Notamacropus eugenii: one gene and its partner. The protein of the gene in region 1 purifies or fractionates together with the protein of each later gene. This does not show direct contact. Links are inferred from orthologs where the notes say so. Each region holds a gene or a part of one and is shown on either strand. Other genes may lie near its edges.

Region 1 (7,933 bases):
AGTCCTGATTTCACACACAACTGCCCCTTGAGCTATGACATGCAGCTCCTCATGGGCAGAGATGGACACATGGGACTGGGAGAGAAAATAAAGATCTGCTGTTTCTAAGGAAGGCTCTGAAGGTCATGTCTACCCACCGCAGAATTTAGCAATCATGGTGCAGATGGCACAGGCAGGAAAGTAATACTAAGCCTCAGCCAGGACATGACAAAGAATACACTCCTACTTGCACACTGCTACCCTGTTTACCTACCTCCTGCACCCCAACCCTCACCCCCAAGTCAGAAAAGGCAAGGCTGTTTTTTAAAGCATTAGGTCTTTTCAATTCCCACTCAATTCCTAGACCCGAGAGAGTTAGTCCATAAGATCCAGCCCTATACCACAACTAACCATAAGAACCCCAAGCCACACAGCAAGGAAAATTAACTCTCCCCAAGGCCAAGGTTCACACTCTACGGAGACATGAAGTAAGCCTCGAGGATAGAATTTGTATCATTTCCACCATCTGAGCCTCACCAAAGTCCTTCATGCTGTCAGGGTCTGTGTCATCTAAGAAGAAGTAGCCACACTTGACAGCCCGGTGCACCTCAAAGCAGAGTCCCAGACAAGCATCTTCCACCAGGTCTGTGTAAATCTCATGAGCGATGGCCTGGGCCCCCCAAAAGAACAAGAGTGATTGCAGGGGCCCTTTTCACTTGAGCCTTACTTCCCTAATGTTACCTACAACTGCTTCAGACCCAAGCACGAGAGGCCCAGCCTCCATCCTGAATTCCTATTCTTCTTTCTCCCAGTTCTCAAGGCTTTCAGTTATTCCTTTCCCCAAAAAAGTGGTTATCCCATATTCCTGGAGCCTAACGTTGATAGCTGAAAGGAACTTCAGAGATCATCTAGTCTATCCTCAGAACATTTCATTCAACCTCCTCATTTTTCAAAAGGAAAAACTTAGTTATGGAAAGTTGATGTGACCTGTCCAAGGTCACACAGGTAGAAAATGGCAAATGCACAATTTGAACTCAAGCCTTTTCTAACTCGAAATCCTCCGGTGCCTTTTCTACCCAACGGTTTCTCTTTGCTGCTGATAATGAATATAGATAACCAGAAAACAAAGATGACAGACAAACAGATGGGAGAGAGCTCTCACCTCCAGCTTGCTGTTATCCAGGCCAGACAAAGACATTTCCTCCATTTTCATTTGCAAACTCTCGTGGAGAAGACGTTCTGACTGCTCATAGCACAGCAGGAGGCCACACAGCTGTACACATGGAGGGTTGGGGGAGGAAGGGTAGCTTAAGTCCAGAGGATCTCTACTACCTACTCTCCCCCAGCCCCAGCTCCCCTCTCCCTTCATAATTTACTGATCCCTGAGTTCTTCCACCTTGTTTAAAAATATTCTTTCAGTGGTTGGAAACCTGAAACTCTCTTGAAGTAGGGTGGAAGGGAGAAAATTATACAGATTCCTAAGCTTGACCCTTTCCACCATCATACACACATCTCATCCCCAAAGTGACTTCTGTTTTGCCATGGTGGCCACAGAAGGCCTGGAGCTATGCCACCTTAGGTAACTCCCTGTCCTAGACCTTTGCCGAATTCTCACATAAATTTAGAGAAAGAAGGTATCTTACGGATTTTCTAGTCCAACCACTTCACTTTACAAATTAAGAAACTAAGACCCAGAATAGTTAAATGACTTACCCAAAGTCATAGTAACTGGCAGGAGGACCCTGGGTCTCTCCTCATGAAATAAAACCAAACCAAAGCAAGGAAGCTAACCTTGTAAGAAGGTTAAGATAAAGGAGCAAGGAACCGGGCAGGATTTTTGCATTACAGTGCAGAGAAATGGATTTTGAATCACAGAACCAGGGTTTTAGTCTTGGCTCTATCACTTAATACTTGTGACCTTGGGCAAATTACTTAACCTACTAACCTTAGGGCCTCCCTTTCCTTATCAGTAAAGTGTAGAGGGTGGAACTGAGGAGCTCTTAAATTCTTGCCAGTTGTACACCTCTTATTCAGCATTGATTAAGGATTAAGAGCTAGGAATTGGAAGATCTCCCCCAGCCCCCACCCAACAATCCCATGCCCAAGGAGGACAGCATGGCAGAAAGCAGTAACCCATCTCACCGGTTCCCTCCTCCCAACAGTGGAGTCTCTGGAGGTGTCAAGGAGCCCCCCTCCCCCTTTAGGGCTAAGAATACCCTAGGGCTTGTGAATGGAGGTAGGAACGAGGCACTTAGGTTGGGGACTTTAGTTTTTCTCCCCCACCCTGCCCGATACTGCATTGACGCTGCATCACCCTGGGGGGGGGGGGGGGTAGGGAGGAGCCCAAACCACACCAGTTCCCATCTCTTCCAGTCCTGGGGAGAAACAAGGTCCTGCCCCACCCCACAACCTCCCAGGCCCGGGCATCCTCCCTGCCCTGCCCCGCAGGAAGGGGTGCTCCAGGGGACTATTGTCCGAGCTCCTCAGGGCAACCTGGTCTTCCCTCCCAAACAAAGGGCAGCGCCTTCCTCGGCCCCGGGGGCCTCCCCCATCCCAAGACAAGCGCGGGGGGAGGGGAGGAGGGAAAGAGGGCACGCCACACCCCGGGACCGAGAAACACCCACTGCTTCCGGGACTTGGGGGAGGGGCGGGGAAGAGAACGCGGGCCCGGCAGCGGCGGGTCAGAGGGCGCGAGGGTCAAGGGTCAGGGGGCGGAGGCACGGGACCCCAGGCCCCTCCCCTCCCCCCTCACTCACCCCGCCCGGGGGGCTGCGCCGGGGCCCCGGGGCCTCTCGGCCTCTCAGGGCCGCGTCCTCCGGCGGCGGCGACGGCGGCGGCTGCTGCTGCTGCTGCTGCTACTTCTCCGGGGACCCATGTCCGTCCGTCCGTCCGCCCTCGCCTCGCCTCCCGGAGCCGGGGGTCGAGCCGCCTCCTCCCCCCCGCCGCCGCCTCAGCGGGCGGCCATGGCCCCTTCCTTCCCCTCCCTCCTGGCCTCGCTGCCTCGTCACCGCCTCCTGCTCACCTCACCCCGCCCCTCCTCCTCCAACCTCCCCCCCGCCCCGGGACGATCCAGCCCGCCTCTCCCGGGCGGGGGGCGCGGCGCGAGGAGCCCAGAGCGCGCGCGCGCGAGGTAAGCCGGGCGCGCGCGCCACCCCGCCCCGCGCTCGGCCTCCCCGCAGCGGCCTCGACCCTCGGGCCCCTCCCCTTCTCCCGCTGTCCCCTCCCTCACTTCCTGTCTTCCTGCACTCTCTTCCGCGCGCGCAGCGGCTGCTCGAGCTAGCGGGGTCCCGGCGCGTGCATCTGCCCCGCGGGCCGCCGCTCGGCCGCATTGGCTATTGGGGGCGGAGATGGGGCGGGGGAGGCGGAGGGAGCCGAGCGGAGAGGAGGAGGGCCACGCCGCGGCCGAACGTCCCGACGGCCGTACCTCCCTAGAGAGTGTGCGGAGGGGGCGGGGCCTCGATTGTCTTCTCCTCGCCAATAGGAAGCACGCATCCCCGCCGACAGGCCTATAGGACCGCACGGAGCGGAAGCGGTGTTTAAAGCAGGGGTGCGCGAAGCTTGGGGAGGTGGATACTTTGTTGCAATCCCGGCCGGCTAACTGGGCGGGGAGCCGGTGGTGTTGAACTCTGGTGGCCGCTCCCCTCCATTCCCCTCCCCGCTCCCTGGGGACGCCTCTGGACCCGCAGTCCCCGCCCTTTTCCCGGGGAAACCCCGCCTCTCGCATTGCAGGCCCAGTGTTCTGGGGAACGTGGCTTAGTGAATGCCGCTGGTTCTTGCTGATTTACCCTTTTTCTGGGCTGCGAAGAGGGTCCCAGGACTTCTAGCTGTGGGGCCAGACGCTGCCCCTTGAACCCCCCTAACTCCCCCCCTTCCCCGCCTCCCAGTGTCTACGCCTCCACCCCCCAACGTGCCTTTCAATCGCCCCTCCCACTGTACCAAGGGTGCCACCTTCCTCCATCTATTTGTCACCTGGTCGAACTCCTTATTCTCTAGCGATTGCCAAGCCATTGTTAGTCTTTTCATTAAAAAAATAATTTCAATGAATAATAGTTAAAATTTTCACATACAAATGTATCTTTGTTCTTCCCACCTCACACCTTCCTTCGTTGGGAAAAAAGAAAAAGCCCTTGTAAGAAATATGCATAGTCAGGCAAAACAAATTCTCTTACTGGCCGTTTCCCAACACGGTGTTGTAATCTACCTCCTGGTTCCATCACCAGTCTCTCAGTAAGTGGGCAGCACATTTCATTTGGGGTCCTCTGAAATCCTGGTTGGTCATTGTCTGGTTCAGAGTTCTGAAGTCTTTGACAGTTCCTTGTCTTTAAATTTATTTTTTTTTACATTAAAGACTTGTTTTCTTTGCTTCCCACTTCATCTCCACTGAAAAAAAAGGAAAAAGCTCTTTAAGCAAATATGTATGGTCAAGCAAAACATTTTTAAATTGGCCGTGTTTATAAAAAAAAAACGATGTGTTTCAATCTGCATCCCAAATCCATCACCACTCTCTCAGGAGATCAGCGCGTTTCCCGTTGGGTCTTGGGGAAATATGGCTGGTGATTTCATCGATCAGAATTCTTAAGTCTCTCAAGTTTGTCTTTACAATGTTGTTAACTGTGTAAGTTCTCCTGCTTTTGCTCATTTCATTCTGCTCAGTTTATTTGTTATCCCATGTTTCTCTGATAGCCTCCCTTTCATCATTTCATTGAGAACAATAAAATTCGTTACATTAATACATCATAATTTGTTCAGCCATTCTTCAACTGAAGGTCATTCCCCTATTTTCCAGTTCTTTTCAGCTACAAAAGAAAAAAAATAAGCTGCTATAAATATTTTTGCATATGGGTCCTTTTTCTTTGACCATTTTGTAGCATAGCTTAGGTATTTCTACGTTAAAGGGTCTAGTAATACAGGCCTACTTGTGGCAAATGCACAGTTTAGTAACTTTGGGGGCAAAGTTCCAAAACTGCTTTCCATAATGACTGAATCAATTCACAGCTCCACTAACAGTGCATTTTCCCCTCATAACCCCTCTCACATTTGTTATTTTCCTTTTATGTCAACTTTGCCAGTCTCTTAGTCTTTTCTCAATGAACTCAAGGTTCTTCTCCAACCTCAAACCCAATCTTCATATTTGGGGACTTCAAGATAATTGGCAGTCTCCTGAAACAACTAGAGCTCACAGTTTAAGTGCTTCAACTCCCATGACCTCCATCTTTTCTACCCCTCAGTTGCCTAGAACTCCTCAAATAATCAGATCATCACCTGTAATGCAATTATTCCATGTCCTGCATCTAAATCTCTGAATTCCTATCGTCACTACCTGGCACCTCTTAAATCTGTTTTTTATGCTTATGGTGGCCTCCAATCTTTCTATCCCTTCCTGTTTTATTCTCTGTCTTCCTTTCCATGCCTTCATGACCTTGACCAGTTCAACCACATACTGTTAGTTACCTTAGACTCTTTACCTTTTGGTCCTCTCATCAGCTAGCTATTCCTTGCCAAACTGCTGGATTACTGCCACCATCTGCTATCTCTCTTCCTGCTCATGTCTCACAGAAGTCCTTTGGGGAAAGTCAGACACCATGAATAAAATTAGTGTAGATGGAATTAGAAGAGAAGCAGTTCATTGGAGAAAATATCTTTGCAACACATATCTATAATAAGGATATCTAAGATCTGATATACAAGATTTAAATGCATAAGAACAAGAGTCTTTCGCCAATAGATAAATAATCTGAAGAGGTAGGTTTTTTTTTTTGAGCAAGGAAAGAAAAATCTTTTTTTTTCTTATCACTTTCACTTCCTAATGTATTTCTCTCCTCTCCCTACAAAAAGCCATGCTTTATATGACAGGGGGCTGGCCAATGAGAGCCCAGCTTGGGAACATGTGCAATCTTCTTTGCCTGGTATAATCCATATGCATAATAGCATGTCCTGCTCCCCATTTCAGAGCATGCCCAGGTATTCTATAACTATTTGCTGTCTGATTACTATGTGCTGAAGAAAAGGCTGACTGCTGAGCCAGAAAAAAATAGACTATGCATGCAAAAGGTACTAACTAGCCAAATGGACCTCCCTTTCCCAGCCTAGTTAGAATTGGTCACTCCATATAGCGTTGGGGATACAAAGAAAGACAAAAGACAAGAGCCCCTCCCAGTCTAATGGGAGAGACAACAAATAAACAACTGTGCAATAACAAGCTATATACAGGATAAATAGGAAGTAGCCGACAGAGGGAAGGCACTAGAATTAAGAGGAATTGGGAAAGGCTTCCTTTAGAGAGTAAGGAGCAGGAACTTCTGGGGGCTTCAAGGTGGAGGAGGGGCCTTGGGGCTGTCTCTCACCTATTTGCCAAGAAGTCAAAGGGGCATGGCCCAGCTATTTTGATGTCCCTATTGTTCAGTCTTTATGCCCCTATTTGGGGTTTTCTTGGCAAAGGTACTGGAGTGGTTTGCCATTTCCTTCTCATCTCCAGCTCATGTTACAGATGAGGAAACTGAGGCAAAAAGGGTTAAGTAACTTGCCCAGAGTCACACAGCTAATGTCTAAGGTTGAGCTTAGATCATCCTGCATCCAGGCCTGGTGTTTTTCTATCCACTGTGCCACCTAGCTGCACCCCCCACCCATTGTTTTTGTCTGTTAGTTATATCTGACTCTCCATGATCCCATTTGGGGTTTCCTTGGCAAGGATACTGGAGTGGTTTGCCATTTCCTTCTGCAGCTCATTTTATAGATGAGGAAACTGAGTCAAACAGGGTGAAGTAACATGCCTAGGGTCACCCAACTAGTAAGTGTCTGAGGCCAGATTTGAACTCAGCAAGATGAGTCTTTAGTCAGCTACTAAGTATCTAAGGTAAAATTTAAACTCAGGCCCCTGCACCATCTAGCTGCTTCAAAGATAAGAATAGTCCATAGTAGAAAGAGCCATGTCTTTGGAGTCCAAGGACATGGGTTGAAGATCCTCCTCTGATGCTCCTTATATGATTTTGAAGATGTTGTTTAGGCTCCCTGGGCCCCAGTAAAGTGAAAGGGAAAGGTGGAGCCTTTTATTTCTAGACCTATGGCCTGTCATTGTGAAAATACTGATAGTAGCACTTCTTGTAGTAGTAAACATTTGGAAGAAAAGGGAATGCTCATTGGCTGGGAGATGATTGAACAAGGTTGGCATGTGAATGAGATTAAAATCATGCTTTATGAAATTACCTCTGAATATGAAGAATTCAGAGAAACTTGGGAGGACTTATACAAACTGATTTAAAGCAAAGAAATCAGAACAAGAAGAACAGTGTATGTAATGACCACAATTATGTAAAGGAAAATAACTTTGAAAGACTTTACAACTCTGATCAATGCAGTGACCAATTATAATCTCGAGCAGCTAGATGGTACAGTGGATAGAGTGCTGGGCCTGAGCTTAAATCTGACCTCTGATAGTTAGTAGCTGTGTGATCCTGAGAAAATCAATTAAATTAATCCTGTTTGCCTCAGTTTCCTCATCTATAAAATAAACTTGAAAAGGAAATGGTAAGCCACTCCAGTTATCTTTGCCAAGAAAATCCCAAAGGGATCACAAAGAGTTGGACATGACTGAATGACAAATTATAATTTCAGAGGATTTGATGGTGAAGCCTGTCTCCCTTCTTTCTGCAGAGAGGTGGCAGACAGAAGTGTGGAATAAACACATACCTTTTGAGACAGGACCATTCTGGAGATATGCTTTACTCAACTGTATTCATTTGGTTATAAAAAAAAAGGGTTCTATGGGTGTGAGGGAATTATTGAGAAGTGTTAAGAATGTGAGGAAAAAAGCAACAATAAAATTTTTACCCCCCCCAAAAAAGTACCACATAACCAAGTTGTCTGGATTTTACTGGTTTTATGTCATCTAATCATTGGGACTCTTACAGCACAATAATCCTTTTATTTTAGACTGAGTCTGATTACAACTCTGTCT
Region 2 (7,180 bases), on another chromosome or scaffold:
CTTTCTTTCCCTGTAGTCCTTCCACATCTCCCCCTGGCATGGGCCCTACGTTTATGTGATGCCCTATCAGTACTTCTTTTGGGGGTGGGGATTATAGGGGAATGAAAAGATAGAAAAGACATGGTTCCTGCCTTAAAGACCTTGCAGTGCAGTAAGGAGATAACATATCCATATTGAATATGGGTTCTATTAAATATAAGCAATTCCCTTCATCAAGCAGATTGCAACCCATCCATTTTTGCCAATCCATTCACACTAATCTTCCCATGAATTCACCATAGAGTGCTCCACCCAGTCTGTAGGAGCTTGGTGTTCTTAGCTTTCTGTGGATACCAGTGGATCAGGCAGGCTGTCCATCAGTGTCTAGTGTCTTTTGCTCTGTGACCAGCCCATCTATTTTTCTGGCCACATACTTATCTGATAATATTTTTATATGATTTTTCATACATAGAATATTATTTTTAGAACTATAAGGGACATTAGAGGTCATTGAATCTAACCTTTTCATTTTACAGATAAGGAAACTGGCATACAGAGTCTGCTTGCCAAAAGTCACACAGCTAGTAAGTCTCTCAACTGGGATTCAAACCCATGTTTTCTTAATTTCAGGTCCAGTATTCTATCCACCACACCATCATGCCTCTTAGAATTTTGGGGTTGACTTTGGGTAGTTGCAGGGCTTTTTTTAATGGCCCCAAATTTCCTGAAACAAAGACCCACTAAAAAAATTCAATATACTTTTATTTGAAAAATAGGTCACAAACTCTTGAGTGCAGACCTGTTCTACCATTGTACAAGTTACAAATGCTTGACAGCTGAGGGCAAGCGTTTAGTAGCATTGAACAGTGAATAAAAATCCACATAAAACAAATGTCATACTAGAACCAGTATGACCTCATCTCCTGCTCTTCCATATTGTTGCATCTGAGTCAACGCTACTCTTCAAACACATTTAAAAACTCTTAAGAATTAAGTTAATACGCTCCCCAAATCCTCTCAATTCAAACTAAACTTACATTTAATGGCTATCAACAGTTTCTCTCTGTTGATACTAGCTGAAGTACAAATGATGCTGAGGAATGATGCTCCATTCTGCTGTACAAGCCTTAGACAGTGGCCCCATCCTGGGCCTTGACTTCTTAGAAAGCTTCTGCTCCTTGGTTTGTTGCCTGCATGGCAGTTCTGGCTTAGAGGTCACAATGTAGAGAGGGGCTCTGGAAGTCACTGAAAGGGAAAGTAGCTACAGGACAAGCACCCATGTTTTAAAACCACCTACAAGCTTCAACATGTATTTCTGGTAAAGCACAGCATTGCACAATTTGATCCAGACACTAACCTATTGGTCCTCATATGCTAGAAGAGTAATATTTCACATCTGGTTAAGTGTCTTCCACATCTTACCATGCCTGATCAAATGAGATGCTGTTCAACGTTTGATATTCTCCATCATTCACATGATACATAAAGGTTTGGTCATTTTCATCATTTTCTTCATCAGAACCTCTGTATTCCTTTAATATAGGTTGTTTGGTTTTTGGTTTTTGGATAATGATGTTAACCCCAAGTCCAAAAGGAATGCAACATAGTGTATCTCTGGTCAGATATGTCTGACTCTAGATTCAGAAGGAAAATATTTGACCAGTGTTGGGTGGATTACACTTGTTATCTGTTCATATTTAAGCTCGACCACTTCAGAACCAGATAAGCCACCACCAACCAGTATTAGGTGGACAACCTTAATGTCAGAGATACATCAGGCATCAGAAACTGCTTATACAAAGGTTTCTGGATCCATGCAATCATTTCACACATGAAACTGACTCCGGCAACATTCATATTCAGTGTTTTGGTTTTTTCCAGATCAGAGACAGCCTACTTATTTTGAATGGCACCAAACTCAACAAGTAGATGACAGACAGCTTTGGAGTTAGCAGTAACAGTCTGCAAAATGAACTTTGTCCAGTGATCTCTGGTAGTTTTCATTCACTTGACTTCACTGTCAGAAGTCATTTTCTCTCCCTTGTTGTCAGTGTACTTAATTTGTGACATTTGCTTAAAGGTGCCTAGATGATGCCCTTTGGAGGTATTTCAGTCTTGCTAGCATAGGACATTCAAACCCTGCTCCTGGAGTAGCAAACATCTTTCTAGCTCTGCCATTGTGACATTTGAAGCATAAAAAATATATTCGAAGAAATGCTCTGTACCATCCCACATGTTTCTTGAGGATGTCTCCAAGGTCAGCAACACAGAAGGCATCTTCATCATCATCAGAAGAAAAAGAAACATTAATTTGGGGGTAAAATATCCTTAAGAGTAAGCCTTCATCAAGTAAATTGGAGTCAAGTTTGTCCTTGCGAAACTGTTCATGGTTTCCAGGCATTCTTCAAAAGGACAACAAAATAGGAAATGAAGAGGTGGGATTTAGAGGCTAGCTCTTCAAGAATGTAAAGAGGCCACATTATGGACATCTCTGAATACTAAGCTAAGAAGTTTGAAATTCATTGATTCTCTATTGTTGATTTGGTCTCTTCATAAAGTTAGTGCTAATGGAAGAGAGGAAATGGGTGCATGGTAAATTTGGAGGCAGAATTGACAAGATTTGTAATAGTTGAGCATGTTGCCAAACTTCACAGAACAAATCTTTGTTTGATTTGTTCTGTGAAGTTTGGATTTAGTCAAAGGGCTGCACTTGAGGATCTAGAGGGCCACCTGTGGCCTCGAGGCCACAGGTTCCCTACCCCTGGTAGACATTTGAGCATGATCATGAGGACTGGATTATAATCTGGAAGAGGCAGTACATGTAGATAACACCTGTGAGAATCTAGAAGCCCAATACATGCATTCAATTAGCAAGTGTCCCTTACCTTGTATGGGGCATAGAGCCGTGGAGCAGAGAAGATGATCATTGCGATATGTCCCTGCTTTCGAGGATCTTAACTTGTAGTCGGAAAAGTGAAATTGTAATAAGGTAAATAGAGTTTAGAAAGTGCTAAATGTGCAAGAATACAAAATGTTCTGAGAACAGGTGAAGGAGAAATCTCTTTGGGATTATGCCTTAGGTCACTCTCGAGTTAACTGTGTGATTGTTCATGTTGTGTCCTGTGCTTGTCATTCATGGTTTATATGCAGTTCAAGTCTTGTCATGAGAGAGTTCATTAATGAGAAACCTCTAGGTAACCAATTTATTTATTTTTTATCCCACCACACATATTAGAAGTTTCATCTTAAGTGTTTGAAACATGAGCCTAGAGCCAGAAAGAAGACACTGACTTTATGTTCTCCAACAAGGATCTTTCAAGTACCTGTAGGATTTGTCATGGAATCAGCAGAGTTTAAAGGGAGCACGTCTGCACTGATCTTCATGGGTTCTCTGGCCAGTTTGTAGCTTTTTGTAGAACACTTTTCATCATTACTTTAATACCTCAAAAATATGTATTTCAGCAACACAGATCACAACCTCTCTACCCATTTGTGTGTAGTCTTCATGAGTTGTTATGGTTAAAAAAAAAATCTCAGAGTAGGAAGGAGCCTGAGAGGCCATCTTATCCAATCTTTGTTTGGACAAGACTGGTCCCTGGACAGCCAACACATAGTGTGCATCACAGGGCCTCTTCTTGCAGCCTTTCTAATGTGGTGTGACCAGCCAGTTTGCTTTCCACTGGAATAAGCCCCCACAAACCACTGTGCTACAGTGAAGCAGCAGAGTCTGCCTGTGTGAAACCAGTCATTGTGAGCACTCCATTAGTAAGCTAGTGCTGAGAGGTGAGACAACAGAATGCACTTTTTAAACAGGGACACATTAGAGTCGTGGTCAGGGATAGGGCAGAGAGGTACATGTGTATACACGCACACACACATGTGCACACATGCACTACTCAGAGTTTGCCAAAGTTCTGAAAGGATTGGTCTGATACTGATTCCAGCCCCAACCCTGTGGTGGTACAGCCAGACTGCACATCCCCACCTGTTGGTAGGCTGCTGTCAGTTTTATCTGCTCTGAGCTCATTCCTAACAATAGACATTTACCCTTCCAGGAGCTGGTGGGCACCCCCGGCAGCAAGCCTTAATAACACTGGCTTCGTGTGGCCAGGCAGGCCGTTTTTCTGGGTGCTCATTGAGGACAAGCAGCCTCCACTGCCTCCTCTCTCTGGCTAAGACCTGATAGCCCAAGTTGTCTGGTGCCAGTTGTTTACTTTCAGAAAGATTTAGGCAATGGCTGCTCCTCCTTTCACCGGGCTCACAGCAGTTGCTGATGTAATTAAAGATCTAGACGCTCAGATAGCTGTAAGTAAGCTAATTAATGCGACCATGGCATCTGTGGCCAAAGTTTTTGAGTGTGCACCATCTTGTCATGCTAACAGGCTCAGGCCATTTTTAAAAGGCTGATCTGGCACGATTAACAGAACCAAAAGATAACTTACTCTTAAAATTGTTAAGCTTTGTGCTTATTGGACATAACTGCATTGAGTGTCAGTGCATGATGTGGTGTGTCAGTTAACATGAGTTACTAATTTCTGAATCACTGGGGCTGTGCCCCTTTCTGCAGAGGTGGTTATGGTGTATAAGTGGAGTTTCTTTTTGGTTATTTGAATTTAACACATATTTTCCCCAGATGATCCTATGTCTTCACCAAATGTTCTGTTTTTATATAAACCTCAGAAATATCTTACTCTTTCCAGTCAGTGTCTGTGTATGACTTTTTGGTCTGTTTGTCTTCTTTCTGTTCTGAAGACCCTTTCAGAGAGTTGTTAAAGGAGAGATGATTTCCAAATGTCAGGGAAAAGCTATGCATTCGTTTCTCTCTCCATTTTTATAATCAAAGGTATTAATTTGTGACCATTTGAGGTGAACTCAGATTCTGAAAAAATCTAACAAACACACAGTTTTTTAAAATGTCCACCCTTTGTTACTGATGCTTCTAAAATATATTTTTATGTTTTCTTTCCCCAGTTGATTGGCCTCGGTCCCCATAATCCCAAAAAAAAACAGGACCTTGACAAGCTCCATGAACTGAAGGCCAAAGCTCGACAGATTATGAACCAGTTTGGCCCCTCAGCCCTGATCAATCTCTCCAACTTTTCATCCATAAAACCGGAACCTTCCAGCACCCCCCCTCAGGGGTCCATGGCCAACAGTACCACAGTGGGAAAGATGCCAGGCCCCCCAGGGGCAGGGGGGCGTCTTAGTCCAGAAAGCAATCAGGTATCAGTTGTCCTTTCGGCATGGGCTTCTGGGAGCTTTGTTCATTGTTTACTAATGCCGGTGTTATTTCTCTATGATAAAGGGAATATATACAAGCGTTGGGGTAAATTATTAGAAAAGAATAGGATAAGCATGTTTGAGTCAGTTGAGCTGTAGCTTTCTTAATTTAGTTCTATATTTTCTTCAACCCAGCCACCATTCTGAGACCTCAGTTGTTATAATTAAGCACCTACTGTGTGGCAGGTGAGAGGCAGAAGGGTGTAGTAGATAGAGGGATAGCCTTGGTCATTACAAACTGGGATTAAGTCCTGCCTCTGACACTCCAGCTTGTTACCCTGGGCAAATCACCGCTCTAAAACTATGAATGGCCCATCAGCACTGGCAGAGGAAGTGTCCTCACTGGCAACAGGCTTTTGCACAAATGAAATTAAAGATCCAGACCACAAAAAAGAAAATATGTTAGGCACTAGGGATGCAGAAACAGGGTAGTCCTCATCCTCAAGGAACTTAAAGAGTCTACAGCATATACACACTTTAGATACAGAATAATTTGGGAGAGGGGAAGAGCACTAGCAGCTGGGGGGATTTAAAGAGGGGGCCCTGAAGCTGAGCTTTGAGTGGGAGCTGGACATAAGGAGGGAGAATTTTCCACTTACAGCAGACAGTCTATACAAAGGCACAGCGTAGTGCAGAAAACAAATAGGCCAACTTGGCTATAAGGTGGAGGGGAGTGGGAGATAGGATTGTGAAATAAGCCAGGAAAAAGAAGGGATGGGAATAAGCATTTCTACAGCACCTACTATCTGTCAGGTACTATGCTAAGCACATTTTTACAAATATCTCATTTGAACGACTCTCCCGTGAGGTAGATATTGTCATTACTCATGTTTTACAGTTGGGGAAACTAAGGCAAATGGAGGTTAAGTGATTTTGCTCTTGTAAATAAACATCTGAGGCTGGATTTGAACTCAGGTCTTCCTGACTCCAGGCCCAGCACTCTATCCACTGAGCCACCTAGCTGCCTCTAAGGAGGTAGGTAGGATTGTAGATTTAGAGTTGAAAAGGATGTCAGACATTATGTAGTCTAACCTCTGTGTTATTGATGAGCAACTTGGGGCCCAGAGTTGTTAATTGGGGTCCTAGAGTCTAAGTCAGATTTGAACAGAAGTTCTTTGTCTCCAAATCCAGCAGTCCTTCCACTGTTGCGTAATGAATTTTTACTTATTTTGTTAAATGCTTCCGGTTACATTTAATTTTGTTCTGCTGCACTGGGAGTTTGAGGGACCCTAAGGGTGGGTTGAAGAGGTGGGGAACTTATTCTAGTAGCCCAGGTGTGAGACATGAGTCAGGGGAGCAACATCTAATGGAGGGACAAATCCAAAACACATTTTGAAGGAAGAATCAGTATAACTTAGTAATTTGATATGAGAAAAGAGAGTGGGATGAACCAAAGATCAGACCCCCAGCGCTTCTAGCCTGCACAACTGGGAGAAAGGTAAGGCTGTTGATCCCAAGTGAAGCTCAGAAAGAGGCCCTTTGTGCAGAGAATAAAAGGTCAGGTTTAGCAGGAAACCTCCCCCTGGTCAACAAAGCCAGGAGGTGGCCATGGGGGCAGTGGAGCACAGCAAGCAGAACTTAGATGGTTCCTTGGTGCCTTTGCCTGCCCTGGGGTCCTCGGGCATCTCTGCAGTCCCCCAAGTTCTCAGAATCTTTACACCTTCCTGGTTTACGTTGCTTCTCCAGGTGTGCAAGGCATTGCTGTCCTTTCCACCTGTTCTTCCTCAAGTGTGCTCCTGCCAGAGCCCTATGCTCCTCAGAAGCTGTTAGAGCTAGGGGGAGGAGGAATTTTCTAACCAAGGTCCTGTGGTGGGGGGTTACCTTGGAGCCTTGCATTGCTGGACAGACAGCTACAGGGCAGAATTTACATTAACCATGTCTTTAACTCTCATCACAAATTGACCTGTTTATGTATTTACCT

The links.
Region 2: the proteins of ATXN7L3 (region 1) and TAF12 purify together in Homo sapiens (affinity purification with mass spectrometry; 5 studies listed by BioGRID and IntAct, counting the BioPlex papers as one, with this or other methods). This does not show direct contact. The link is inferred for Notamacropus eugenii from reciprocal best matches to the Homo sapiens genes ATXN7L3 and TAF12.

The regions. Positions count from the first base shown.
Region 1 is NC_092873.1:349,846,051-349,853,983, reverse strand, and holds the start of ATXN7L3 (ataxin-7-like protein 3), read right to left. Parts: upstream 3,008-7,933; 5' UTR 2,736-3,007; intron 2,038-2,735; exon of another isoform or gene 1,925-2,037; intron 1,253-1,924; 5' UTR 1,193-1,252; coding exon 1,142-1,192; intron 650-1,141; coding exon 517-649; intron 1-516. UniProt on the Homo sapiens protein: Component of the transcription regulatory histone acetylation (HAT) complex SAGA, a multiprotein complex that activates transcription by remodeling chromatin and mediating histone acetylation and deubiquitination.
Region 2 is NC_092876.1:69,738,195-69,745,374, reverse strand, and holds the start of TAF12 (transcription initiation factor TFIID subunit 12), read left to right. Parts: upstream 1-4,179; 5' UTR 4,180-4,212; coding exon 4,213-4,284; intron 4,285-4,950; coding exon 4,951-5,202; intron 5,203-7,180. UniProt on the Homo sapiens protein: The TFIID basal transcription factor complex plays a major role in the initiation of RNA polymerase II (Pol II)-dependent transcription.